4 linked regions of the Arabidopsis thaliana genome follow. The protein of the gene in region 4 interacts with the protein of the main gene of each other region in a pairwise test. Each region holds a gene or a part of one and is shown on either strand. Other genes may lie near its edges.

Region 1 (3,905 bases), on a different chromosome or scaffold from region 4:
CTGTTTAGTTCAAATATCATTTAACAATTTCACCCTTTAAAATATCCGTTTCGTTCCATGCACCATGCGCATGCATCTCTTAATGTATATGAATATGATTATATATATATATATATATATATATATATCTATACACTTAATTAGCCACACAAAGAAATTAAACCCCACGTTTTCCTTTGTGTGATTTGGTCCAAGATTTTTCTTCAAACCCAACATATAGTGCACACTATCAAAAGGTTGTTGTGATTTTGGGATGGGACATTTTCTTCATTAAAAAGGTAATAAATAATCATACTGTTAAACTCAATCAATTATTAATTTTAGAAGATAATTACGTCTTAAAATTCTACATTATCTGTGTATATATATAGGCTTACTTAAAGACGATACTGTTAAAGGTCTTAAAAATTCAAAAGTTAATTGTACAACAACATTTTCATGGAGCTAGCAAGTTTAGAGTTTCGTCCTAATAGTTTATGTTTATAGGTAAAAACAAAAGTGTTAACTTAGGGAAATTTCTAGTGTTATACTGTTATGTTTGGCTACTTCGTTACGTTCACCAAACTTTTAGTATTCTGCTTAGGCTTATTGAACTTGATGTTTGTCTTTCGGCTTTTGGAGGAAAAATAAAATTTTGAAAATTTTGATTCATTTTGACTGTGAACCGGTCTTGTTTCGGCACGTCTTGTTTAGGTCTTGACAACATATTTATGATTGTGTTTATGTGGAGGGAATCAAGTTTCACAAATATTATCCATACAGTTTACATATATACACATATGCATAACTTTGAAGTTTGAACCAAAATGTGAAATTCATAGTATAAAACGTTTGACCTTTACAAAAATGCTCAAAGTTACTTGGCATCGTTTTTCTGTTTATTTTGTTTCAAACTTAAATCTCGAGCGTTGTGATGTAATTTACACTCGTTGAGATTGGCGATTGCATGGCCACTAAAAAACGGTACAACTCTAAAAGCCTTATCTCAAGGCAAACCGATTCGGTTTTCAACCGGTTATTCTCCCTAGATATAAAATTACCACAACTAACAACATTAGCTAACCGGTTTTTCAGCTCCTGATTTCTTATGTTTAACCGGTTCACCTCTTCAGTTAACTCTTCAAAACGTTTCTTCTTTTTCATCCTCGATCTCTTGGCCGATTCCCGGTTTGATATCGTCCGTCTTCTCTTCTTATCATCCACCGGTACTACCTCGTTTATACCGCTTGGATTGTCCGACTCGTCTGATTGAAGAAACGCCAATATATCAATGATTTCATCACCGGTTATCGTAGCATCATTGAAGCAGTTATGAACCGTCTCCATATTAGTATAAAACATTGATGTAAGTGGCAAAAGATATTGGTATAATTTGTGTTAAAGCTAGAGAATGAAAGCTAGAGAGGAAGGGGAGGATTCAAAATGAACCAAGAGTGGCTATTTATAGAGAGGAATGAGGAATAACATGTGGGACTCACATTGGGGTTATATTGTCCACTAAAAAAGTGCTAAGTATTAATGTCATAATCAGAGTCAATCTAAGAGATTAATTGGAATGTTTGTCGATTAGTGCTCTAGATAACATTATTACTGTATTATTTTAACTTTTGTTTTTTTATCCTTTTATACCTTTTGTTTGGATACTGCTTTTTAACTTTTATCACTTTCGTAGCACTACTTTTTAACTACAGAGATAGTGTATTAATTTCACATTGTCATTGTAAGATTATTGTTTTTTTTGTTTTTTTTTGTTTTTTTGATTAATATAAAGGACTGGGTGTTTAAGGTTGTCACCATTTAAACTATATAATTGGTAAAATACTAGAGGGTCAATAATATCTGAAAAACTTGTAAAATATAACTATATTGTAAAAAAAATAAAATGAATAGGATTTATAGCCTATTGGTTTCTGTTAGTATTGTCGTTGTGTTACTATCAATCTATCATGACCGATCCTTCCTTGGCACAAGCACATAAAATTTTGATTTGGGGCCTCAAAATATATATTAGTTATTAGACCAATTTTGTGTAAGATTTCTTGGTATAGATACTCAGTAGGTTCAGAGTTCAAACCAATAAAATGCATCATTTTCATATACTTTTTTTTCAATGTGATAAAAAGAGGGCACGCACTTTATCCTTCTACTGCTAGAAACGATTCCAGATTCAAGCTCGCATATTAAGTACATGTAATTGACAAAAAAAATATCAGATAAAACTCTATACATAAAAGATTTTTTTTAAGTTTCTACACAACTTATTAAGTTAAGACTTAGGGGAGAAAATGGTGTGTAGGTCTTGACACAAGAGGAAGAAGATGAGAGCTTAGCTTAATGGCGAAGAATCTAACAAAAAGCATATTACGTCTTAGTTTATTTATTATGTGTTTGGATTTTCTTATCTTTTTAGTAAGATAAAGTAAACAATACAAGTGAAACTACAGCTGCATTCTCTTTATAGTATCATTATAATTTTGAATCATTTTTTTTTTAATTAAGTAGGGTAAATATATTCGTACGTATTTTCGTAAATCTTTACATGTTTTGAAAGAAAATTTATCCGTTAAAATTTATAATACTGTGACATATTGAAATATTTCTCCATTGGGGTATAAAACCAATCTTGCCTATTTTACTTTATTTTTTTGTTAAATTAAAAATTTAGATAATGGGTCATTTTTTTTTTGCCTACAATTATTTCCAGGGCAAAAGATGTTAAAGAACATACTATTCTTATATTTTGACCTTTGTAATCACGTTTCAAGAAAATCCAAAGTCCACTGTTTGTGACTTTTTGTGGCTTTTTGTAAGTGGACTAAAACATGCATTCACATTTTCACAACTTCTATAACCGACTCTCTATATATTAACATAATTCCTTTTTGTTATTAAAATAGAAGCATTAGTTTAACCTCAGATACAGAGTTTTGTCATCTAATTAGGAAATGTCTAACAACCGATCTATATTTTAACACAATTCCTTTTCTTAGAAAGCTATACACCTTAGTTTAACCTAAAACAGAGTTTTGTCATCTAATAAGAAATGTCTACCACCAAGAGTTGGATTCATGTGCTTCCTCCTTATTTGTCTACCCTAATTTCTTTTTATTCTTTAGCATTCCACATTCTCAAGTAAAGTCCAACAAAAGATGGCAAAAAGCTGTTTTATTTCACATGTTTAAATACCATATCTTCTATACTTTCTATGCAAGACATCTGTATCTCATAGGGATCGACCTAAAAACCGAACCAAACTGAATCAAAGATTTATCGATCCGAACCGAACTTAAGTTTTATATAAATAACCGGACCTTGATTAACTAACCGAAATTCATTCTGTTTGTCAAAGTATAGGCTGAGCGAGTCCACATTATACTAAACAAGAAGAGTAGCCAAAACATATAGACTTGATGATTGCAAATTCACAACTTTACTTTCATTTATTCCTTGAGGTAATAACAGTGGTTGTGGTAAACCACATAGTCGAGTAACATCACAAAAGGAATATTCAATCAAAGTACAAAAAAAAAAAACATTTAGACAAAACACACAAACTTCTGTTTCCTACGCTTCATTCCAGAGTGTGCTACTCCATGTTGACTGGTGGAGTTGCCTAAATAAAGACGATTAGTGGAATCGATCAGCAATATCGAAAAGATCTATTAGTGTCTATTGTTGACGACCGGTGTGGCTAAAGAGAAATCATTTGTTACCTTGAATAAAAGATCATGAGCAATAGTGTCCCATGGTAATGAAATGGACATTAAGCAGCATTTAAGAGGGAACATCTCGTCTTCATCATAAGAGGCAGTAGCAGCTGCTATTGCATGTTTAGCTGCGACAGATGCAACAGAGGCTGCTTTACGGAAAATGGATCCGAGATCGATGCTCTTCTTTGAAGACAT
Region 2 (4,067 bases), on a different chromosome or scaffold from region 4:
TGTTTATTTGGTTATCTACTAATATTACCCTTATTTTAACACCATATCCAATACCGGGAGTGCCGGCTTCGTTAGTACATGCTTTATATTAAGAATTGTTTTATAGTATACCATAAAATTTATAACAATATATATATATTTAAAAAAAAATTGAGAAGTTAGTTGTAAACATTAATTTATACGGATTCGATTTAAAAATTCTTAAAGAAAACAAATTTTGCAACAAAAATCGAGTAAATTGCAAACAAAATCTACTATACAGGATTTACTGTAGTAAATATACTACAAACATATAGTAAATTTACAACTTATCTTTTTCTTTCAGCAAAATATATAGTAAATTTGTTTTCTTTTTGATTTTTGATATAAATTACAACAAAATTTACAAATTTTGGTCTATTTGTGTTTTTTTGTTTAGATGTATTATTGTAGTAGTAAAATAGAGAAGACATCATTTCTACAGGTTACAACTATAGTTTTTACTGACTAATTCGTTAAAAACACGAAACTAATACCTACATTTTTTTATTTCAGAAAAAATTATTATTGTTTTTTTCGTTTTCGTATGAGTATGTTGTGACTATTGGTCAGTTTTTTTAAGGAAAGTTGTTATTACTATTGGTTACAAATAACTTTAAATTAGTTTTTATTTGTTGAACAAAGTTAAAGTGGTCGTGCACATGAACATGATCTCCAACAAACTTGAAAACATTATAAAGCTGAAAGAATTTGATTATTAAGCCATGCTTTTTCTTGTTTTGTTGTATTCCTTAGGAACGGCTTCTTTAAAACAGCTTTGCTGTTAAGAAAACTGCCATGCGAATATTCCCTCCCCTCCCTCTAGTCTTTTTGGTTTGGTATAACTAATAATTAGCAAATAGTAATTATGAATCAAATTAGTTCCTCAGTAGCACTTACGATTTTTCTTTTATTATTAATATATAGACACTCAACCGAATTTGAATTCGGATGATAAGACAACAATATCTCTATGGAAATAAAGAAAATCTTAGGACTGTCAATTTTCTAAATACATACGACAACTTTTCGAAAGACTGTATTTGAAAACAAGACGTAATAACATCGATTAAATCATATCCCAATATAAATTCAAGGTGTAACTTTCCTAATTAGATAGATCCAAGTTCCTTTACTTTTGCCGGTTTTGTAACAATTTTATATCTTATACCTAGCTAGAATATAGTAATCCATCAGATTAATTTCAAATACAAAAGTATGCCGACCAATAAAAATAAAATTAAAATTAAAATACAGTGGTATGCATGCATATCACTATATATAACAGCAAACTAAGTATATCTCTTCTTCTTTTTAATGCTATAGGATGCTTTTTCATCTTTTTGGTCCATAACTTTATCTTCTGTCTCAGAACGTAGATTTCACTAACTATATTTGCAGTTACATATACCATAAAAGAAAGGAATCTTAACCAAAAAAAACTAAGATTCCTTCTTCAACTTTTGTAACGAGGTTTAGACTTGCACATGTTGCAAAAATAAAGAACACGATCAAAAAACAAAATCCCAAAACATACAATAATATTACATAAAATTATCTAATTGGATTATTACGATCGAAACTATCAACTTTTAGCAAAGAAGAAAGAAAATGTTGAATACACAAGCTAAGTCTCTACTTCCTATTTGAAAGTCTAGCTAAACAGTAAAAACACACTAACAAAAATGATTTCCTTTAAACATCGAAGATCACGTTCAACAATCATACGTTCATAGAAGATCTAAAGACCAATATTAAATTTGAGTCTTCGTACTATCCAATGTTCTTTAAGTTAAAACGTAAAAACTGAAAAGTGTTCTTACGAGGAAACGAGGATTGGCTCTCCATACTTGAAATATTAAACTTAAACTTCTGAGTTACATCTAATCCTACACCGACACGTGTCCAACAATTTCCTCTCCTGATGCGACTCATTTCCTCATCTTTTGGTCTTTCTCTTTTCATTCTTAGAAAAAGAAAATTTGAAAAAAAGATAAAAAGAAAAAGAAAAGTAAATCTAAAAAGTTATTAGGAAAAACCCCCATCAATATTCTACTAATGTCTGACCAAAATAGCCTCATGTGTGTATTCTCTCGTCCATAAATATGGACCTCCAACAATGCAATTCTTCCCTTTTCCCCTTCTAATCTCTCTCGCATCTCTACATTTTGAGATCATTTTAAATTGTCCTCTCTTTTATTTTCCGGTTAAGCACCATGATGTCTACTATTTCCCCGGTTTTCTCAACCGAACCGGGTCTATTAACCTCTGTCCTCCCAGCTTTTGAAACCAGTTTCACTCCATGGGACATTTCACACCTCTTCTCGGTCTTCGATTCATTAATCGATCCAAAACCGGTTTCGACCCATGACTATGGTTCAGTAAACCAGATCGGTTCAGACATGTCTCCGACCGACAATACCGACGAGCGGAAAAAGAAACGGAAATTATCGAACCGGGAATCGGCTAAGCGGTCAAGAGAGAAGAAACAAAAGCACTTGGAGGAGATGAGTATCCAGCTAAACCAACTCAAAATTCAGAACCAAGAATTGAAGAACCAGCTTCGGTACGTTTTATACCATTGTCAACGAACGAAGATGGAAAATGATCGTCTACTTATGGAGCACCGTATACTGCATGATAAGTTGTTGAACATCAGACAAGTTTTGATGTTTCGTCAAACCTAACGAAGCTCATCAAACTGTGCCACTTGGCCTTGTAATAACAGTACTGTTGTTACGGTCCAGCAAGATCCGTCGATCATGTTATCATAAGTTGAGGTTTCTGAAATTGTTTCGACGGTAAAATGGGAACAATTTGTAAAAACAATTATTGAAAAATGCATGGATATACGTTATCAAATTAGATTTCGTTTTTTATATATTAATAAATAAATAATTAATTAATTATATTGACGTGTTTAAAATTGTTAACGAAGAAATGGGTTACTGGCAGAATTTGTCGATAACCTTTATCTACTTGTTTCTTTTCACTATTCTTTTCGTTTAGCTTTGTTGAATATACCTTTATATCATTATATATTCAAGAAATAAGCACAAACGAAATAGATGACTACGATATCATAATTAAGTTCTAACAATAAAGGTCTCTAGCTCGTAGAATTTAGATGATCGAGGGTGATCATTTCTATAGTCGTAACTTACGATAGAGAATTTTATCAGCATAAGTTGAGAGGAATATATTACAAGTTAAACGAAAAAAAGAAGAATGTTATCAGCATAATTAGCTATATTCCAAGCATAAATTCTAAAACGTCACACACGAAACAGTGATTTAATTTTTGTAAGATTCCTATCCTACAACTTTCTAGTGATCAAATGTAAATTATTCCCCTGAAAAATGATTAAATGACGCGTGCAACGACAAAATAGATGGGTCTTGGTATCCTAATATATAAATTCGTGGTCTAAAATATAGAATATGAGAATATGGCCTGATTAAATACTATTTTGAATAAGGAGGTCAAATTCAATTATTCGTAAAGAGGTCGACTAATTTCTCGGCAGTCTTAATCACCCTGAAAACATTATCTTTGTTTCGGTCTTTCTTAATAGGTTCAATGCTTTTAATTATAATTAAGCTTTTGTATCCTAATTAATGGGCTAATGGATATATTTCGATTCGAAGTATATATAGTTTTTGAACATGATAATTTATGTATTTTTTGGTCTAAGGTAAGCACTTAAAGGAAAATAAAGAGGCTTAGTAATTGTAAGATAACATGAATTTATTTCCACTAGATGTTAAGTTTTATATACATGGTACGAATCACGAACTTAGCTATATATAGGCAGGGACAAAGTTAGGTTGATGATAATGATGGTTTGATGACCAAATAGGTGCATTAATCATGTACTAACTACACTTAATTAAATCCTAATTAGCTAAGATATATAGTATTAAACTCTTAATACACACACAAGGGCACGTATATATGTGTACATATATGTTCAGGAGCGGAAGTTTTAGGCCCTCTTAACCTTTCACGAGATATGGAGACATGATAATAACAATACCATTGTTATCAA
Region 3 (5,489 bases), 4.9 Mb from region 4:
GTGGGAACATATACGGTCGATTGTTTTCTTTTTTACCTCTATTGATTTCGTGTCTATCGTGTATAATTAGATTACAAATAAGTAATAATAAAAAGATTAAATAAATGTTGGACTCGTCAGATATTTTGCTTTCTTGTCGATTCTTGCTCGCCTGAACACAAACCTTATCTATCAAAACAAGCCAAATCTTAATATTTTTTTTTTCCACAGCCAAATCTTAATTAGAGATCTAGTTTGTGGAAAAAAGATGTCCCTCGGACTTGATATATTTAAAGATAATCCAAAAAATTAAACTGGTATGTACAAAAATCTTGATTTTTCGATGTAAATAGATCATCTTAGTACATAGCTGATCTAATCTATTTATCCAATGGATGAAAGGTATTAAGGTACTTTATACCATTCTCGATCGAGGATTATTATTTCTGTTTATCCTAGAGGATAACATTTAACATATCTTATCAAGTGAACATTTTTAATTTCTTAACTAACCAAGTGAACAATTAAACGAACAAAAAGAACTAAATGAATGACGGAATGAGAGAGCCAAAAGTAAAGTGTGTAAGTAATATGATTATGATTTTTTTTTTAAACAGAAAAATCAAATATAATGATTTAAATGCGAATCATAATCATATCACTAACAAAGTGCGTATATTTCTATATATGAATAGCAATTTGTAAAGTACACTAGTACAAATACAGTACTCGACACAGATCGCTAGTTACCATTTTTTCTTCTTGGGGATGTCAATTTTGTGAACTTGATATAATAATGAAAGAAGGGTAGGGTTTTTTTTTTTTTTTTTTTTGAACAGAGAAAGAAGGGTAGGGTTAAGTTCAAAATTACGACAAGAAACGAGTAAGCCCACTTCTATGTGAGCTTTTTGGACCCTTTGTAAATGAAAGGTACGTCTATATATGGGTTTCTTTTGTAGTCCTAGGCCCAACTTAACAATGTAGCTGGTATCCGATAATAGGGATCCGAGCCGAGCCGAGTAATTGAGATTTTAAATTTAAACAAGAACTCATTTCCCACGTTGATTATTTACTTAGAAATTCCTGAATTATTTATATATGTGACATTCCAAAAATAGCAGATAACATCCTTCATGTAATGCACTATAAAATGCAATAGGTTTATGATCAAAGCTTGTAATTTACCAACAAAAATAACTCGCTGGTTTTAGTTACTGCTATTGTTTCATAATCTATGTTAAATTTGCGTGTGTGAGTAAGGAAAATTGCAATATTTTATGAACACTTATTCTAATTCTACAGAAAAGAGGTTGATTATATATTCAACTTTTTATTTTACTTCTAGGTTTTGTTTTTGTTTTCAGTTTTCCCTCATACCGCTTACTTCTTCCAAAACCCAAATTAAGATGTTAAACAAACATGCCTAATTAACCAGGAAAAATAGAAGAAACTAAAGCCATTTCTTATCTCACAATTCCTCAGCATTGAACCCTAGCTCTGCAACTAATTAATCAGGAAGCTCCAACTCCAAGAAAATCAAAGTAGTAATAGCCACTCCTCATCTTCATCTCCACCTTTCTTTCACTGACTGAGATTGTGTGGTGATTTTGATGGTCCATCTTTTTACCATATATGCCATTTACTTCTGCTCTCTGCACACACTGACCATCTTTGCCTGCAAAATTAGAAAAATAAGTTCTCAGCACCCACGTGAAATTTTGTTATATTGAAATAGTAACGTGACAATAGTACTTCACCTCCTTATATTATTATGCCTATAGGTACTCTTACGATGTAAAAACAGTTTCTTTCTTTTCTAGTCATTCAAATTTATAATTATTGCCATGTATATGAAAAAGTGTAGGAAGTGGTCACTCGTCGTCGGTTATACAACATGTCGGCCTAAATTATCATTTTATATGCTTTGAACATTCAAAAATTAACAAGACTGGAATCTAATAAGCTAAATTTAGACCACAAATGATATTTGGAAGTACCGGTTAAAGTATAAACCGATCATGATCAACGATACACCCAATAAAGATTGCAATACGATCTCGACCAACCGACCGAGATCATTATAGTTAGATTCACGAAAACACTTCTCAAGAAAGCCGAAAACGAAAAAAAACATTCCAAGTTTCTATACTTTTAATGTCTTGGGTCATGAAAATAATATATTTTCAATAGAGAAAAAAAAAAAACATAGTAAACATAATATTTAAGCAAATAAATAAAATGTTACCTGATGCAAGGGTACTATCGTAATTAAAGAAGCGAGGCTGGTAAGCTGAAGAAGGCGGAGTGAGAGAGAGCTCCGTCGTACAAGTAGAGACAGCTGACACATCGTCGTCGTCATCTTCTTCATTGATGAACTTACCTTGATTGTAGCGGCAAGAGGACGAAACCGTCATTTCAGCGTCTCTTGACAACGTCGGAGGAGGCTGTTGACGTTGTCTTTGGCTTTCTCTAGTCCGTCGAGCCATGATGACGTGCCAATGGTTCTTGACAGCGTTATCGGTACGACCTGGAAAGAGACGAGAGATCAAAGCCCACTTGTTGCCATAGGCTCGATGAGCTGCTAACAGCCTAAACTCTTCTTCCTCCGTGAAGGCTCTCTTGTTAATCCTTGGGTCTAGTTGGTTAAACCATCTCAATCTACAACTCTTGCCTGTAGTCAAAGAAGTGTCCCTCACATTATAAAAATTAGTTACTATCAAGCATTATGTCATTATGCCTTATACAACTTAGTCTAACTTGTAAAAACTATTTTTAAAAAAATCCAAACACAATTACGAAAATGCCTAATAACTTTGGAAACTCAACTCACCAAAGTTTTTAAATATATTTACTTATTTTTCTTCTACATAAAAATAGTTAAATTTGCGGAATTTGGAGTAACAAAAGTGAAGGAAATAATTAAGTAATAAGAATTTTAAGTAAAATAAATGTACCTGATCTACCAAGAAGGTGGTTAGAAATCAAGTTCCAGTTTTGGGGACCAAACTGGGCAACAAGCTCCTTGAGTTTAGCATCTTCTGTTGGTCTCCAGTGTCCTCGTGAGCATACTTTTGTGTTAATTCCACTTTTGCCCCTCATTCTTAAACTCTTTTCGTTTTCACCTCTCTCGTTCCCATGTTCATCTTCCGACTCCAAGACTGAGGCTGATTTGTTGTGAGGATGGTTTCTAGAGATAGAGGGGTTGTTGAGTGAAGTTTTACAAGCAGCAGTGTGTGAGTTTGGTAGAGATCTGAAGTTGTTTGCTTCTTTGTATCTTATTGACCCATTTGTAGTTTCCTTACCTCTTAGATCTTTCTCAAGGAGATTTGGATTCATGTTTCTGGGTTTAGGGATTAAGGGAAGAGAAACTAAAAATAGAAGAGAGATAGAGGGAGAGAGCACTTGAATGGCTTTTCACTGTTTATATGGTGGAAGAGGAAAGAGAGATTCTCTAAAAAAAATTATTGAAATTTATATTTTTATTTACATTTATTTGCAAGCTAGTTAATATATATAGAAGAATATTTTAGAAAATGATGATGAGTGCAGAGTGGTTATTTAATGTACATGAAAAACAAAATTGATAGCTGTTTATTCACACACCAAAAGAAATTGAAGGGAAAGTTTTGTAAAAGCATATTCAAATGAATTACAAGTGTTAATTACCAAATTGTGGCCTAATAATCCCATGCTAATGGTTTTATACAATTACGTGCGGTTTCATTTTATTTATCATTTTTTTTTTTTTTTCAGCAACCACATTTTAACTATATTTATAGTCGATGCCTCGATGGTGGTCGTACAAAATCGAAATTCGATCATTAAAATTCCAAGATAGATCTATAACAATTTTTCATCACTATCTTCATAAGAGCTGCTTGTTATTGTACTAATATTGTGTTAATTAAATAGTTAAAATGAAACCGCACGAAAACATTAAATATTCAAGGTTCACGTTTTCCTTCACGTACGTTGCGATTTAGTTTTTACTCTTACACGAAAAATTTCGAATAATGAGATACTTTCAGTACAAAGCTCTCTCTCTCTACACGTGCAAAAGTAAGGGATTTGGAAAAGTCGGTGGGTACGTGTAGTGTAGATGCATGCAAAACGAGACCCGCTCGTGCGTGTGGGAGGGTTCGATGACCATAGGCCCCACAGTCTCAACAGTCTCGGAAACTCCAAAAAACATTTTTGAACCGCTCGTGTGGCTATAGTATATACTATGCACACATACAGATATTGCACGTACGTTAAGTGTGTGTGTGTGAGTTAATTATGGGAAAAAACAACAGAATCAATTTTTGTCTGTTTCGGACACAAAGCAAGAAAAGATCTTAAAGGGAGAGAAATAAATTGCTTTTATGAGCTTTCTGTTCTCTCCATAACGTATAAGTGTGTATATATATATTCGCATCTTTCAAAGAACTCGTTTTGTGTAGTTAAATTATAAAGTAATATGATGATTAGCTCAACAACTAGTTCAAGTACTTCAATATCTTTTGAACGATGGGTTCGACGTCGTTTGGGGTGTATACATTTTTACTTATATACTATATTCAGTGAAATTCAAGCATTGTTTTTGTTTATTACTTAAATAGTTAATTGAACTCAAACAATGTTGTGCGTACATTTAATGGAAAACAGACGTGGCAAACAGAAAACATATGCACATCCTATATTTTTTGCTACTAGTTTAAATTTAAATTTTGCTGTAATTTTTGTTTCAGGATGAAATATATAATCTTTGTTGAAGTTTTTTAAAAAAAACTATCATCAAATTGGTTATTTTAAAGTAAGTTTTAGGTACGAAGGGAACATAGTTTTTTTAATTTTTAGGAAAACTAAAAGTACAAAAAAGAGAAGAAAATGTGAATGGTGACAAACAAAAGTTCAATTCATTTCTTATAAACCAAAAATAATAATTGAACAACCAACTCTATTGAAGACCATTATTATTCAATGATATGGACTATTTATGCTCCCATTGAACCTATAAGTTGTAGACTTTAGTTTTTTGTATCTTTTTGATATAAGAATTGAGTGGTCATTCGTTTGAATGTAATAATTATCTTTCATGCGTAACAACTTACTATAGTCTTGATATGACTAAACAAAGCTACATATTTTAGTAATTGTACTAAACTCGATCGAGTATGCAACCACATAATTTTGATGGATTAAAATACTAGAGATTAAAGAGAGAAATCATGTAACTGAACTCGAACTAGAATTAAATTCAACAATAATAAATGAAGAATAAAACAAATATAACACGAATAGACGTTAGAAACCAAAGAAACGACAGAAAAGTACCTAAAGTTTTTTATTTATTGTGTCTTGTTTTTATGTGAGTTTCGGTTATGGGAACGGTTTCGTTAATTTTGAAATCTTCTGTTGACGACAAAAAAAAAGTCTTGTACCGACGTGGAATGACGACATCATTGGCTGTTACACACGAGCGGATCGTGTTCTTACCTAACACGTGTACCGTCCTCACGAATTTCAGT
Region 4 (5,108 bases):
CCACAAAAAAATGTAGAAATAGTTTCTTGAACAGATAAACCTACTCTTTTGAAAGTAAGACAACAAAAAAAAAAATCTGATAATCAGGGGTGTTCCAGTTTTACCATCGACAAACTTTTTCAAAGTAAATGTATCCACTGTCTGTCCTAATCTAAAGCTGAACAATTAAGGGTTTTAAGCCTCAAAATATATATTTCATTTTGAAAGCACCAAAACTATAAATTTCTTGTAGGACAGTGATTTTTCCGGGTTTTTTTGTTTCTCATGTTATAGGTTTAAGTCTCCAATGCATCATTTTGCTATATTTTAAATATTTATAGGCAAAAAATATTTTGGGTTTTAGGACCAACTCTGAGTGTAGCCGTTGAATAGTCCATTCATCGGATTTTTAATAAACCTTAAACATGACACCAGGTCAAAATAAGAATGATTTAGAAATTGATTCATAACCTAACCTACATAATAATTCTTCCTAAAATAAGACAAAATGTCACACGAAATTATACAGTTTGAGATTTTTCTAAACCACTTTAACATAGAAAAGTCTACAAAATTCTACTAATGGTGTAATAGAGACGTACTTTGATAAAACGTAAATCATTCTTTCAAATAGAGTTGAACTACTGATATTCTCAAAGTCAAACCACCAACATCCACTTGGTTTGCAAGTGTTATGTTTCTCTCTCACTAGATATTCTCTTGATAAAAGGTTTTGCACAAGTGTACTAATATATGCAAAAATAAAGGACCCACCAAAATATGCAACTTGAATTTGGATAGATTCTTATCCAAAAATCAGAAGTTTAGTACATTTCTCTAATCTAACTTCACTTACAAAACTATATATTATGTTCCTCTCGGATCTCTCCTTTCCTTTGTAAAATGCAAATGGGAATATTAAATGGACCCATGAAATGAAGTTACGTTACAAAACCGACGACAACTATAATATTTATTATTTATATATTCTTGTGATGCAGATCAAAATTTAAATTGACTAAAATACCCCTTGCCACGTCAGTCTGACTTGGATTTGCCCCAAAAAGCGTTGAAAAAAATATTATTAAATCCAATAAGGCATAAACAAATATTATTACATGTATATTTTAAATATTACTTTAAGCTCCTCATATTCTTCTGTTTTTATCAATTATACACCAACATTTGTTGTTTATAAATATGAACCCCTAATCGTCCCCTTTCAAACGTGGAATATAAGATCGATATATATTACACATTTGAGTAAACAATTAGGCAATGAAGTTTGTGAAGGAGACTGCATTTCTGATAATCTTAATAATTTTTGTTTTCTTAATAATATTATTTATTTTTTTTATAAAATGGTCTGAAAAATTACAATCATTACATCGTTTCTAACGGTTTTTTCTTTCTTAAAGAATCGTTTTTAAATTTAAAATTTTCGATTATTTTTGATTTTTACCGCTAATCTTGGAATTTATCTTGAGTGCTCAAGAGTGAGTAAAATCCCTTACCTCGAAAAATCCCTTTATGGTAGAGGACGTTGGTGATAGTAACAATTTTTTCTCGTAGCTCGGTCATTGTGTCGGCCATTGTGAGATCGAAGAAAGATATTGAGATAAGGTGGGTTAAGCAGTAGATTCTCCGTTTTCCATTGTCCACTAGGATACAATTTTCTTTTTTGACTCTGATCAGTTTTTTCTATTTTAATTTGTGTATCTTAATATTATTATTCGTTGTAACTGTAGGCGAATCTCACCTTTTTTAAAAACATGTTTTAAGAAAGAAAAAAAAAAGTTTGACACTTTAATTATTTTTTCCATTCTATATATCTTATAAACTAAAAATTGTTCTAAAAAGTAGAAAAATTAGTATAACTAAAACCATATTTCCAGATACTTTTTTCCTTTTATTTATTATTAGTTCTGTTGTTAATAAAAATCGTTATAATTTTTTGTATTATGACCTGTCGTTTTTTAAGATACTACAAGAAAACAGTGACCTAACAGAATAAATCAAAAGTTTTTGCTGTAAATAGAAATACACGACTCTTGTCGGGGCCATTAGGGTAATAATCAGACAATTAAATATCTAACAAAACAACAAAACTTGAAAAGAACATATTATTAAAATGCAAGACTGCCCAATCGGATAAGAAGAAACTGTTTTGACAATTTGAAACCAAAAAAAAATAAATAAAACTAAAGAAACAAACAAATTACAAAAGAGAAAAGATGGAAAAAGTTTTCTCCGACGAAGAAATCTCCGGTAACCATCACTGGTCGGTTAATGGAATGACGTCGTTGAATCGCAGTGCTTCCGAATGGGCATTCAATCGTTTCATACAAGAATCCTCCGCCGCTGCAGACGACGGAGAATCTACGACGGCGTGTGGTGTTTCCGTCTCCTCTCCTCCTAATGTTCCTGTAGATTCAGAGGAATACAGAGCATTTCTCAAGAGTAAACTTAATCTTGCTTGTGCTGCTGTCGCCATGAAAAGGGTACTCACTACTCTGCTCAAGTTTGAGTTTTTTTTTTTTTCATAGAAAAAGAAAAACAAAACCTTTTTATCTGTTAGTTTGATGAGTTCACTTGAAGCTAAGAAACTAATCTTGTTTTGTTATGTTTGAGTGTTAAGATCTTATTGGACCTTTTGTATATGATTTGCCATTATCTTCCTTGAGATTATAATTTGCATTAGTTAATTGATTTTGTGGTGTTAATATTGAAAATTTGATAGGGAACTTTCATCAAACCTCAGGATACTTCTGGTAGATCTGACAATGGTGGAGCCAATGAATCAGAACAAGCCTCTCTTGCTTCTTCCAAAGGTTTTACAATACATCTATGATAAGCCTTTTAAGATGTTATTGATAGTTGTTGTGTTTGTTTTCAAGATTTCTTGTAAATGCTAATGGACCAATCTGTATGCAGCTACACCAATGATGAGCAGTGCTATAACAAGTGGATCTGAGCTCTCTGGTGATGAAGAAGAAGCTGATGGTGAAACTAATATGAACCCTACTAATGTTAAACGCGTTAAAAGGTAACAAATTTACATCCTTTCTTGGACTTGAACATGAACATGAACGTGAATTTGTTTGTTATAGGATGCTCTCTAATAGAGAATCAGCTAGACGGTCCAGAAGAAGAAAGCAAGCACACTTGAGTGAGCTAGAGACACAAGTATGTTACTCTCGCAGCGTTCTTATTCTTTCTCCTTTAACTTTGTTTAGCTCACTTGTGCGACAATCTCCATTTCGTGTAGGTTTCACAGCTTCGTGTAGAGAATTCAAAACTCATGAAGGGTCTCACTGATGTAACTCAAACATTCAATGATGCATCTGTAGAAAACAGAGTTTTAAAAGCCAATATTGAGACACTACGAGCAAAGGTAAAATACTTTCTTTTATCTCTCTGTCTACCAAAACTCGCTATTGAAGCATGTTTGTTTTTGGCAGGTGAAAATGGCTGAAGAGACAGTGAAGAGACTCACTGGCTTTAACCCAATGTTCCACAATATGCCTCAGATTGTTTCAACTGTCTCTCTTCCTTCAGAGACATCAAATTCTCCAGACACTACAAGCAGCCAAGTGACTACACCAGAGATCATTAGCTCGGGGAACAAAGGCAAGGCCTTGATAGGGTGCAAGATGAACAGAACAGCTTCGATGCGTAGAGTTGAGAGCTTGGAACATCTGCAGAAACGTATTCGAAGCGTTGGGGATCAGTAGCTGTTAAAGAAGAATCTTGATTTGTAACATTAATCTTAAGACATATGTTAAGACAAAATGTTGTATGTTTTTGTAAAGAATTGTTTTTTCAGATTATTTAAATTTTTTTTTGTCTTCTTCGTTGATTGTTTGTGTTGAACTTCTAATTTTCATTGTACATGTCTTTTGTTAAATTTACAAAGTTTTTCTAATTTCTGTTAAGAATTACAAGTTTTATCAATTTCACCTAGTGAAACTATTGAAATGGTGATGAGGCAACGATGCAAACGTATAATTTTGGTTATTGAAACTAGAAATTACGAGTTTAATCCCAAATTTCGGCTCTTAGAATCGGGTTTCTATCAATAATTTTTGTTTAAATCCGAATTAGATTATAAATATATATATAAATAAAATAACTATAATTAAACCTTATTAATTTATATTTTTTTTCAAAGTAACCTTTAAATTATGATTTAAGATATTCAATTATGTTCGTTTTTTCGTATCGATTATTTTGATTTGGTTCAGATCGGATAAAACATCTCTAATAAGAATTAATATGCTCTTTTGTAGAATTAATATTCATGAAATATTTAGAAATTTTGTATATTATATAAAATTTAGGAGTACTTTTGACGTATTTTTTTTTGTCGACAATTTCTTTGATTACTAACCCAAAAGGGCAAATTATAAGAGAAGTATAGGTGAAATTTGTGGATCCAAAACCCCATGATATAAGTCCAAACTAAACCCATACAATAATACATCAAATTAAGACTAGGTTTAAAATGAGACACGTGTTAGCCACGTCCCACGTGTTATTGCACAAAGGAGTGGTGGAAAACAACCGACTTGCCACCAAAAATGGAAAAATCCGGTCAGATTCAAAAGAATTTCAGTGAGGAAAATCACCATTTTCAGCACTTGATTCCAACAGATTTCAGCTTCTTACTCCGTATTTCACCAGATCCATTTGCAGCGTTTTTGAAAAGGTAGAAAACCGATGTCCTTGAATCTTCAAATCTATTAAACTCTGGAATCCGCGAGAAGATGAGATGTCAAATTAGTCGCTATACGTCGCTTTGCTAATTTGGTCTCAACCAGACACGAAATCCAACTTTCACGATTCACAAGCTCAAAGAGAAACCAACATCCAAAGCCGATTAGATGTCCACTAAACGGTATGAGGATTTACTCTCCTCAGAAACGAGATCAAGCAGATGAATATTCAGAATCTTGGAATTACCCCTCAGATTTTGCCTCTAACGACATCTGCAAAAGGAAAGGAGAAGAAAAAACTAAAAAGAAATAGCCACAAATGCTAACAAAAGCTCGCAACAAACCGAACTTTGCCGGAAACCAAAAAAAGTAATTTTGATGTATTTTGTTTTTGTTTTTTCATCTTAAACTACT

The links.
Region 1: the proteins of BZO2H3 (region 4) and bZIP4 interact in a two-hybrid assay, tested with the Arabidopsis thaliana proteins (one large-scale study listed by BioGRID).
Region 2: the proteins of BZO2H3 (region 4) and bZIP5 interact in a two-hybrid assay, tested with the Arabidopsis thaliana proteins (one large-scale study listed by BioGRID).
Region 3: the proteins of BZO2H3 (region 4) and MYB56 interact in a two-hybrid assay, tested with the Arabidopsis thaliana proteins (one large-scale study listed by BioGRID).

What each region holds. Positions count from the first base shown.
Region 1 is NC_003070.9:21,865,698-21,869,602, reverse strand, and holds bZIP4 (basic leucine-zipper 4), read right to left. Parts: upstream 1,414-3,905; 5' UTR 1,342-1,413; coding exon 895-1,341; downstream 1-894. Other genes in the region: CW7, read right to left, coding at 3,663-3,905. UniProt on the Arabidopsis thaliana protein: Probable transcription factor involved in somatic embryogenesis. Acts as a positive regulator of BHLH109.
Region 2 is NC_003074.8:18,454,207-18,458,273, reverse strand, and holds bZIP5 (basic leucine-zipper 5), read left to right. Parts: upstream 1-2,148; 5' UTR 2,149-2,234; coding exon 2,235-2,705; 3' UTR 2,706-3,043; downstream 3,044-4,067.
Region 3 is NC_003076.8:5,875,073-5,880,561, reverse strand, and holds MYB56 (myb domain protein 56), read right to left. Parts: upstream 3,450-5,489; 5' UTR 3,316-3,449; coding exon 2,934-3,315; intron 2,651-2,933; coding exon 2,225-2,650; intron 1,655-2,224; coding exon 1,491-1,654; 3' UTR 1,231-1,490; downstream 1-1,230. UniProt on the Arabidopsis thaliana protein: Acts as a cell-specific local repressor of quiescent center (QC) self-renewal by cell divisions in the primary root. Counteracts brassinosteroid (BR)-mediated cell division in the QC cells.
Region 4 is NC_003076.8:10,795,253-10,800,360, reverse strand, and holds BZO2H3 (bZIP transcription factor family protein), read left to right. Parts: upstream 1-2,055; 5' UTR 2,056-2,213; coding exon 2,214-2,480; intron 2,481-2,719; coding exon 2,720-2,810; intron 2,811-2,913; coding exon 2,914-3,025; intron 3,026-3,089; coding exon 3,090-3,165; coding exon of another isoform or gene 3,166-3,247; coding exon 3,248-3,373; coding exon of another isoform or gene 3,374-3,440; coding exon 3,441-3,713; 3' UTR 3,714-3,904; downstream 3,905-5,108. UniProt on the Arabidopsis thaliana protein: Transcription factor involved in controlling responses to starvation. BZIP2-BZIP63-KIN10 complex binds to the ETFQO promoter to up-regulate its transcription.